Daphnia pulex: one gene and its partner. The protein of the gene in region 2 interacts with the protein of the main gene of each other region in a pairwise test. Links are inferred from orthologs where the notes say so. Each region holds a gene or a part of one and is shown on either strand. Other genes may lie near its edges.

Region 1 (3,992 bases), on a different chromosome or scaffold from region 2:
ACAGCTGAAAGTCTAGGAGTTAATGGCCTAGCACAAGCGACCCAAGAAAAGAATACCAACGGCGATGCAACAACATCGATGAGGGAAGTGTCTTCATCACCGACCAATCTTCCGTCAGAGCTTCAAAAGTCGCACAACGATCGTGTGAAATCGTCATCCAGAAAACGACTTCGGATTCGACGTAGTATAGAGCCGGAAAACCATGATTCCGGCAGTCCTTATTCAGACCACAGTCAAACTTCGTCCACCAACTTCTCACCTCGCATTGAAAAAGTCGTTTCCATGGTATTTTTGTTTGAATTTAACCTCCGAGCTGAATGCGTTTGAATAAATTTTAATTTGTTCAGGAAACCCCAAGAAAAACGACACCCGTTAACAACGATTCTACTCCGATTCCACCCAATTTCACCAATAAGATTACATCACCAAATTTCGTGGCGTCGTTTGAACCGATTCTGCTGGAATGCGATCCTGTCCTCCAAGATTCGCCAACATTTTCCAACATTGAATGTGATCCGCACCCTCAAGTCAAACAAGAGCAATGCATATGTAATGTTAACTATTTTCTTCTTCATTAATGGAACTGAAATTGTTAATATAATTTCATTTAGGTGATTTCTTCCGAGGATTTATCGTTTATAAATTCAACGACTACATCGCCCAATGCCATGGAAATCGACAACAATACTGGGAAGAACCCTTCACGCAAGCTGTCTTGAAAGGAATACAGGTAATTATAAATTGCACCTTATTAACCATCCAACTCACATTAATTTTTTTACACTTGACAGGATCGCGAACTGGACATGAGGAAAGGAGCTCAGCTTTTGGGTGTGTCATACAGCACACTTTACGGACGATACCGATATATTCAAACTTAATAAGTGAAATACGATTGCTTAATTTGGTTTTCTCGGCTTGGTGATAAAAATAAAGTCAAATTTCTGGCATCTACTTCTCCGTTTGTCGGTTATTGTAGCACACAGAACCTCTAGCCTACTTTGGTTTTAGATTATTTTGTTATTACAACACTATAAACAACCTATACTAATTTATGTAATTTTTTAAAAAGAATTTCAAGTCTTCTATAAGACTATAATTATAAAATACCCCAATATTTATTTTTGTTAGAAATTTTGTTCGTTTTTAAGGTTTAAATACGTTTACTATCGACAACGCTGTTCTGGATTATTATCTAATTGGGCGGGAGAATTCCACGCTGAAGGAAAAATTTCGTAGTGTCGTTGAAAACCACAGATCTGTTAACTACCATTTTATTCAAGCCTAAAAATGTCTGTTTCGTACGGAAATTGCCAACTGAACCACCCAAAAGGACAAATCCAGGTAGAATCCCTCTGTTATTCTTGCATTTACAGTCTATGGAGTGAATTTAAAGTTTCGTGACATGCAATCACATTTTTGTCAACTTTCCACACTATATAAGTTCGAACAAAGATTTACGAAAACCTTGTTTACTTGAAATAGTGTAAAGAAAACATGTTATAAAGCTAAAACTAGCATTCAATTCTGTGGGTAAAGAATATGTTTATTTCGTAGGTTCTGAGGGTAAATCAACATAAAATTAATTTAAAATCGGCATAAGGCAAACATTTAATTATTTGAGAATAACACTATGTTAAAATAAAATATGTTTAGGAATCACTCATTGGATTTAGTGGTATGGGTTTTCGTTTCAGGGAAAGTTGACGAGTGAGGCCAGTCCAGAATCTGCCACTGCCAAATCCTTCCTTAAAGTTTTTCCCTCCAAGCTCACAGAATTTTGATATCATCCTCGAAATTTTGAGGTTTTGTGACACATCGGAAGCCGTTTGCTTGTGCTTGTTGAAAATTCTGCAGTCCACTTCCCATTGCAGCAAAAGTTGAACAATATTGGTGTAACCCCATCTGGCTGCCAAGTGCAATGCTGTGTCCCCGTTTCCATTCATGGCGTCGTAATTAAGTCGAAAATGAGCTTGCTCCGAATAGTATAAAAGGGCCTTGACGCACGGTTCGTGTCCGTTTAAAACCGCCAAATGAAGGGCCGTATTCCCTTGAAGATCTCGACAATTTAAATCACAACCGGACTGGTGGCACAACAACAGTAAACACGTTTGGAAACCTACCAAGAAAAATGATTTAATGTTTAATTTATGCACAAAACTGTTTTTCCTAATATTTTATACCTCTAAAAGCGGCCCAGTGCAAGGCTGTACGTCCTACAGGATCAGGAATTTGAACTTTATCGCGAAAGGATGTTCTCAGTAGAACCTATGAACGATTTTAATCATTCAAACTCTATATTCTGTTAATTATTTCAACCGTTTTACCTGGGTAGCGTCGCTGTGACCGTAATACGTTGCATAGTGGAGAGCTGTCCATCCCCTGGAATCGGTTCCTATTGCGTCGACTACTCTTGGCAATCCGCAGGAATGGCACGAACACAATGGGTGGCACTCGAATTTGGAACTGAACAGGAGCTCTGTTAGCGCTTCCGCATCGCCAAAAGCCGATGCTCTGAATAACGGTGTGTCAGGGACATCTTTGGGTAATGTTTGATTGAAACTGCCCAGTTTCAGGTGATCTATCGCCGCTTCTAATGTTGAGATGAGGTAGCCATCTTCACCTAATAGACTTGATGTGTGAAAGAATTTGATGAACTCCAGTTGGGCTGCCCAATTGGTCACTTGAGATTTCAGAATGAGGTAGCTCAATAGTGCCAGTAAATTGTCAGCATTCAGGTCAGCTGGAACATCTGTTTTGGTTAGAAAATTGACTGTTTTTCGTAGACAATCCAACTTGTCAGTCACCAACTTTTTGTCCGATAACTTTTCCAGTTCTGCAAGTGCCATGGTAATACTTGATGAGAACTCCTCGGGGAGTTCAAGATCTTGAAGTGTAATGTCACAGTTGTTCCTCCTGATTTTGTTGAGGTTCGCATCAATTTTGTTGGCCTCAATTGTGACGAGATCCATCAACTGGCTGTAGAGATTGTGAATAACACAGCTTGAGATTCTTCTGTCGAGGCTTGAAAAGTAGTTTTTAACTTCATCTAGGCATTGTTTCAATTTTTCTGGTGAGACGAAATCTTGATCTGATTTCATGTAGTTGGCCAAAGTGATCTTGACTGTTCTTACAGAGTCTCGAATAGATTTTTTCTGAAGAATGGTGGGGCTTTTGATGTTCTTGGCATTTGGATCATCTCTGACGATACAGAGAGCCCTTACTTTTCCCAATTTTGTGTAGATTGTTTCCTGGAACAGGATGCGAACTGAAGTCGATCCAAATTTCAGCCTGTCGTCACTTATTTGAACTGGCTCATTGGTCAGTGTCCTGGATTCTCCTCCATGTTGCATGATCAAGTGCTTGCGAACATAGAACTCGTCGAACTGATCTTGACAGACACTGTTTGCCGATGGAATGCAAAGGATCCATTGATTCTTGACAGCTTCTTCGTACAAAACTGTACAATTCTCCTGGAAAAACTTCAAAAAGGGATTACTTGAAAGATCTTCGTCGTACTCCATAATTTGGATAAAACTTTAAAATGATCCTTTCCTAACGTTGGAAAGGTCCAGAATGGCAATTTTCTGTGTCAGCTACTATCTTTAAATGACTCACTTCCGACCCGTTTCCGACGTTGTTATTTTTATTTCTTTGTTTACTGACAGTTTGTATTGCCAAAATTTCACCGGTGCGCCTAGTTATTAAAATCCCCCCTACTTTTTGTCTACGCAGATTATCTTTGGGCCCATGTTTTCGGGCAAAACAACCGAATTAATTCGCCGTTTGAAACGCTATGAAGTGGCCAATCACAAATGTTTGATCGTCAAGGTAATTTTTGATTATTTTATTTATTTTACAACTTAATTTTAATACTAATGATGATTTCAGTATGCCAAAGACTTGCGGTATGAATCGAAATGCGGCCAGGGGGTGGCTACTCACGATCATCAACATCGGGCGGCCGTTGCGGCCACCGTCCTGTCATCCAT
Region 2 (3,266 bases):
CGGCGTTGTAAATCTGTACCTACACATTTTGGCATAATATTATAACACATTTTTCCAGTGTTGTCAAAATGAATTGGAAAAAAAGATTGGAATCTGAATCAAATAATTTTAGATGCCAAAATTTCCTTTTTTCTGTGAGCTCAACTACAATTAATTTAAGTTATATTGGATCACGAATTCATTAAATAATTTTAAAAATTACAAAAAAACTGCCAAACAACGAACGATATTGTTAAGTCGAGTAAATCTTTAAATAACCAACATCTTGGCTAGGACCCATAGTTTCGATGTAAGCTAATCTCCAGTGTATCGGATTTGCCGGATTTGTCAAATCCAACAGACTGCTAATCTCATACTAACACTCTGTATTAACAAAGGACGCCTTAAATTACGAGGCCAATAAACTTAAGAAAAATAATCCATATGGACTTGATATTACACTGCCATGATTAAGCTGACATTTTCAATACACACCTTGGATGGAAATGTAGCTGAAATGGGAATCTTGATCAAAACCAATATGTATTAGGTAGGGCACAAAGCATGTTTCCTTAAATATGTTATACAATGCTCACAATTCAGAAAAAGAGACCACGCATTCGGCGACCCATTATGCCTTGACGGTCGCAAAGTATGTTGAATTTGGTGACAAACTGGTGAAGGTCGTGACATGCTTTGGTAATGGATGCCAAATAGGTTTGCAGCAAGACATCATTGTATTGCTACAAGACAAAAGAAAACAAGATTAGAAAAATCAACCCAATTAACAAAGAGTTAAGATATAATTACGGTGTAATATTCCTCCTGGAAAATTTCAGAGTTGAGGACAGGTAACCTGTGGGTCAGAGATTTAGCTTCGCGTAAGACTTCGTGAGACTTTGGAACCTCTCCTCTCTCCATGGCTCGAATGTATTCTAATATCAATCGCACTCGGTTGGCAAGCATTTTTACTGCGTTGTGTTGGGCTTGCAATTGTTCCGCCACTGTTTAAAAAAGAAAAGTATGTCCATGACAGTTTCATAAGGATAATGTTAATGAATTAAAATTACCTTGAGAACTTTCAGCTGAATCACCAGAAGCCATTCTAGCAACATGATCAACTCCAATTCTTTCTGCCTCTTCTGTGGCCAAAGTATAAGTCAATTCAACAAAGAGCATAGTTGCCTCTCCATTGACAAGATCAATTACAGATTCATACATTGTTACAGGGAGGTCAGCATTTCGTGTAAAAGGATTAAGCTTCAAAATTACAGGACTTTCGTTAATCTCACATATTTGTTTGTGGACATGAATGTCAGATTCATTGGGAGCATCTCCAGTGGTATACCAGCCAAGGAAATCCATATCACTAAACACTTGCTTGACTAAAGATAAAAAGAAATTATGAAGAACATTTAATAAGTAAAGAATGGGAAATTTCATACATTGCTCCTCTTTTGTGTTGTAGTAATCTCGGTCAATTACCACATTCTCAATAACAGTGAAAACCAGTTCAAAGGAATTCATGATTTCTAGGCTTCTTCCTTTCTGCTTTCCAATGAGTGCACCAATCACTATGAAATTGTGTATACAAAATAAATAAAGAGTTAAAATGTACATCACATAAACATTACCTTGCTGTGCTTTCCCTTCCTGGGCTCTCACTCGAGTCCAATGTTCAGATATATTCATCACAACCAAGGGATGCAATAAAACTGATATACTTCCTGTCGCCCCCGATGAAGCCATTACATGGTTAACATTCTGATTATTCTCTTCAGTCTCCATTGTTTTATTCAAGAAAATCGAATATCAGGAAGTGATCTGCGTTTGAAAAGAAGAAGTTGAAAGCGTAGCAGTCGACGTTGTAGCGAGACTAAAACAGCAGACGAAAAGATATTTACCGGAACTGCATTTTGTTTTCTTTTTATAATAATTCAAAAAATATTAACAATAATTTATCATGTTTCAAAAGATTCGTTTGGGTATTTTGATTCCGCTCTCAAGAAACATGGCTGGGCATAGTAAATGGGCCAACATCAAACATGTGAAGGGTGCAAAGGATGCTGAAAGAGCAACTTTACATCTAAGAATTTTTCGTCAAATTAGGGTATTTTGAATTTGTGTTCTCATTATTAGTGTAACTATAACATTTTCTTGAATTTCAATCACAACAATCAGGCAGCTATTAAAGGTTTGTATACTGAGTATTAATTTTTGGTTGAAACAAAGTTTAGCATTAACATACAATTCTTTGTTGCAGAACATGGCTCGGCAGATCCAAAACAAAATATAAAACTTAGTCATCTTGTAGATCAAGCAAGGCATCATAATGTGCCCTCTGAAAAGTTGAAACATATTCTAAAGAATGCTGATCAGTCTACTGAGGATTTAAAACCTTATGTTATGGAAGTAAGAGGACCAGTGGGAACCTTTTTCGTGGTAGAAGTTCTCACTCCTAGTTATTTGAAAGCAAGACAAGGCATCAATACAATCAACAGGAAATTCAAGTAAGTTTAAAATTACTGGTAAATGTAGTGTATGAATTGACTTATAAGTAATAATAATCCTTTCTTGTCAGTGCATCATGGGCAGAAGGAGTTTCAAACAATCTGTTTAACCATCAAGGATTAATCAAGGTGTCACCATTATCTATTGGCCAAACTATTGAGCAAGTACTTGACGATGCTATTAACGTCGGGGCGGAAGATGTAACAGGTATCATTCAAGTGAAATATATACATTATGCAATTATCCGAAATTCTGTGGTAATTTCTAGCTGATGAAGATGGCAAGTTTGTCTTCACATGCAGCCCAAGGGATTTTTTGAATGTCAAGAGATCTGTTAGTCAGCTTGGCTATTGCATAATAGAATCTGACTTGCTCTATATCCCACGAAATAGAGTTCAGATTGAATCCGAAGAAGACTTAGCATTAGTTTCTAAGCTCTATAGTAAGTTGGAAGAAGAGCCCGATGTTGTTAAAATTCATGATAACATTGAATGAGATATTTAATACATATTGTAAATTCTTATATTTTGCGGTTTGAATAAATTAATGCAAAGTGCAATTGAGTATGCGTCCGAATTACTTTTCATTTATTACATCCACCCAAACGCCGCGTACCCGCTTCAAGAAATTATGTCAATTAATGCAGAGGAAACTTGAACCTTATTAATGAAAGAATCGTTCAAGACAAACTGGGATATCAAAAGAATAAGTTAAGCACGAATCATTCCGTTAATCGTCAGTTTATTACAGTTCATAAAAGTATCCGCGGTACATGA

What was found. The genes of interacting proteins can lie anywhere in the genome.
Region 1: the proteins of COP9 signalosome complex subunit 6-like (region 2) and thymidine kinase, cytosolic-like interact in a two-hybrid assay, tested with the Homo sapiens proteins (2 studies listed by BioGRID and IntAct). The link is inferred for Daphnia pulex from reciprocal best matches to the Homo sapiens genes COPS6 and TK1.

Annotation. Positions count from the first base shown.
Region 1 is NC_060026.1:15,980,598-15,984,589, reverse strand, and holds the start of thymidine kinase, cytosolic-like, read left to right. Parts: upstream 1-1,189; 5' UTR 1,190-1,290; coding exon 1,291-1,344; intron 1,345-1,525; exon of another isoform or gene 1,526-1,652; coding exon of another isoform or gene 1,653-2,119; intron 2,120-2,183; coding exon of another isoform or gene 2,184-2,268; intron 2,269-2,327; coding exon of another isoform or gene 2,328-3,524; exon of another isoform or gene 3,525-3,672; intron 3,673-3,735; coding exon 3,736-3,831; intron 3,832-3,891; coding exon 3,892-3,992. Other genes in the region: longitudinals lacking protein, isoforms H/M/V-like, read left to right, coding at 1-285, 348-549, 612-730, 792-881; ankyrin repeat domain-containing protein 27-like, read right to left, coding at 1,653-2,119, 2,184-2,268, 2,328-3,524. UniProt on the Homo sapiens protein: Cell-cycle-regulated enzyme of importance in nucleotide metabolism. Catalyzes the first enzymatic step in the salvage pathway converting thymidine into thymidine monophosphate.
Region 2 is NC_060019.1:12,303,760-12,307,025, reverse strand, and holds COP9 signalosome complex subunit 6-like, read right to left. Parts: upstream 1,856-3,266; 5' UTR 1,768-1,855; coding exon 1,614-1,767; intron 1,554-1,613; coding exon 1,425-1,553; intron 1,365-1,424; coding exon 1,050-1,364; intron 984-1,049; coding exon 790-983; intron 723-789; coding exon 579-722; 3' UTR 504-578; downstream 1-503. Other genes in the region: probable transcriptional regulatory protein FMG_0893, read left to right, coding at 1,943-2,089, 2,161-2,173, 2,243-2,489, 2,561-2,697, 2,759-2,985. UniProt on the Homo sapiens protein: Component of the COP9 signalosome complex (CSN), a complex involved in various cellular and developmental processes.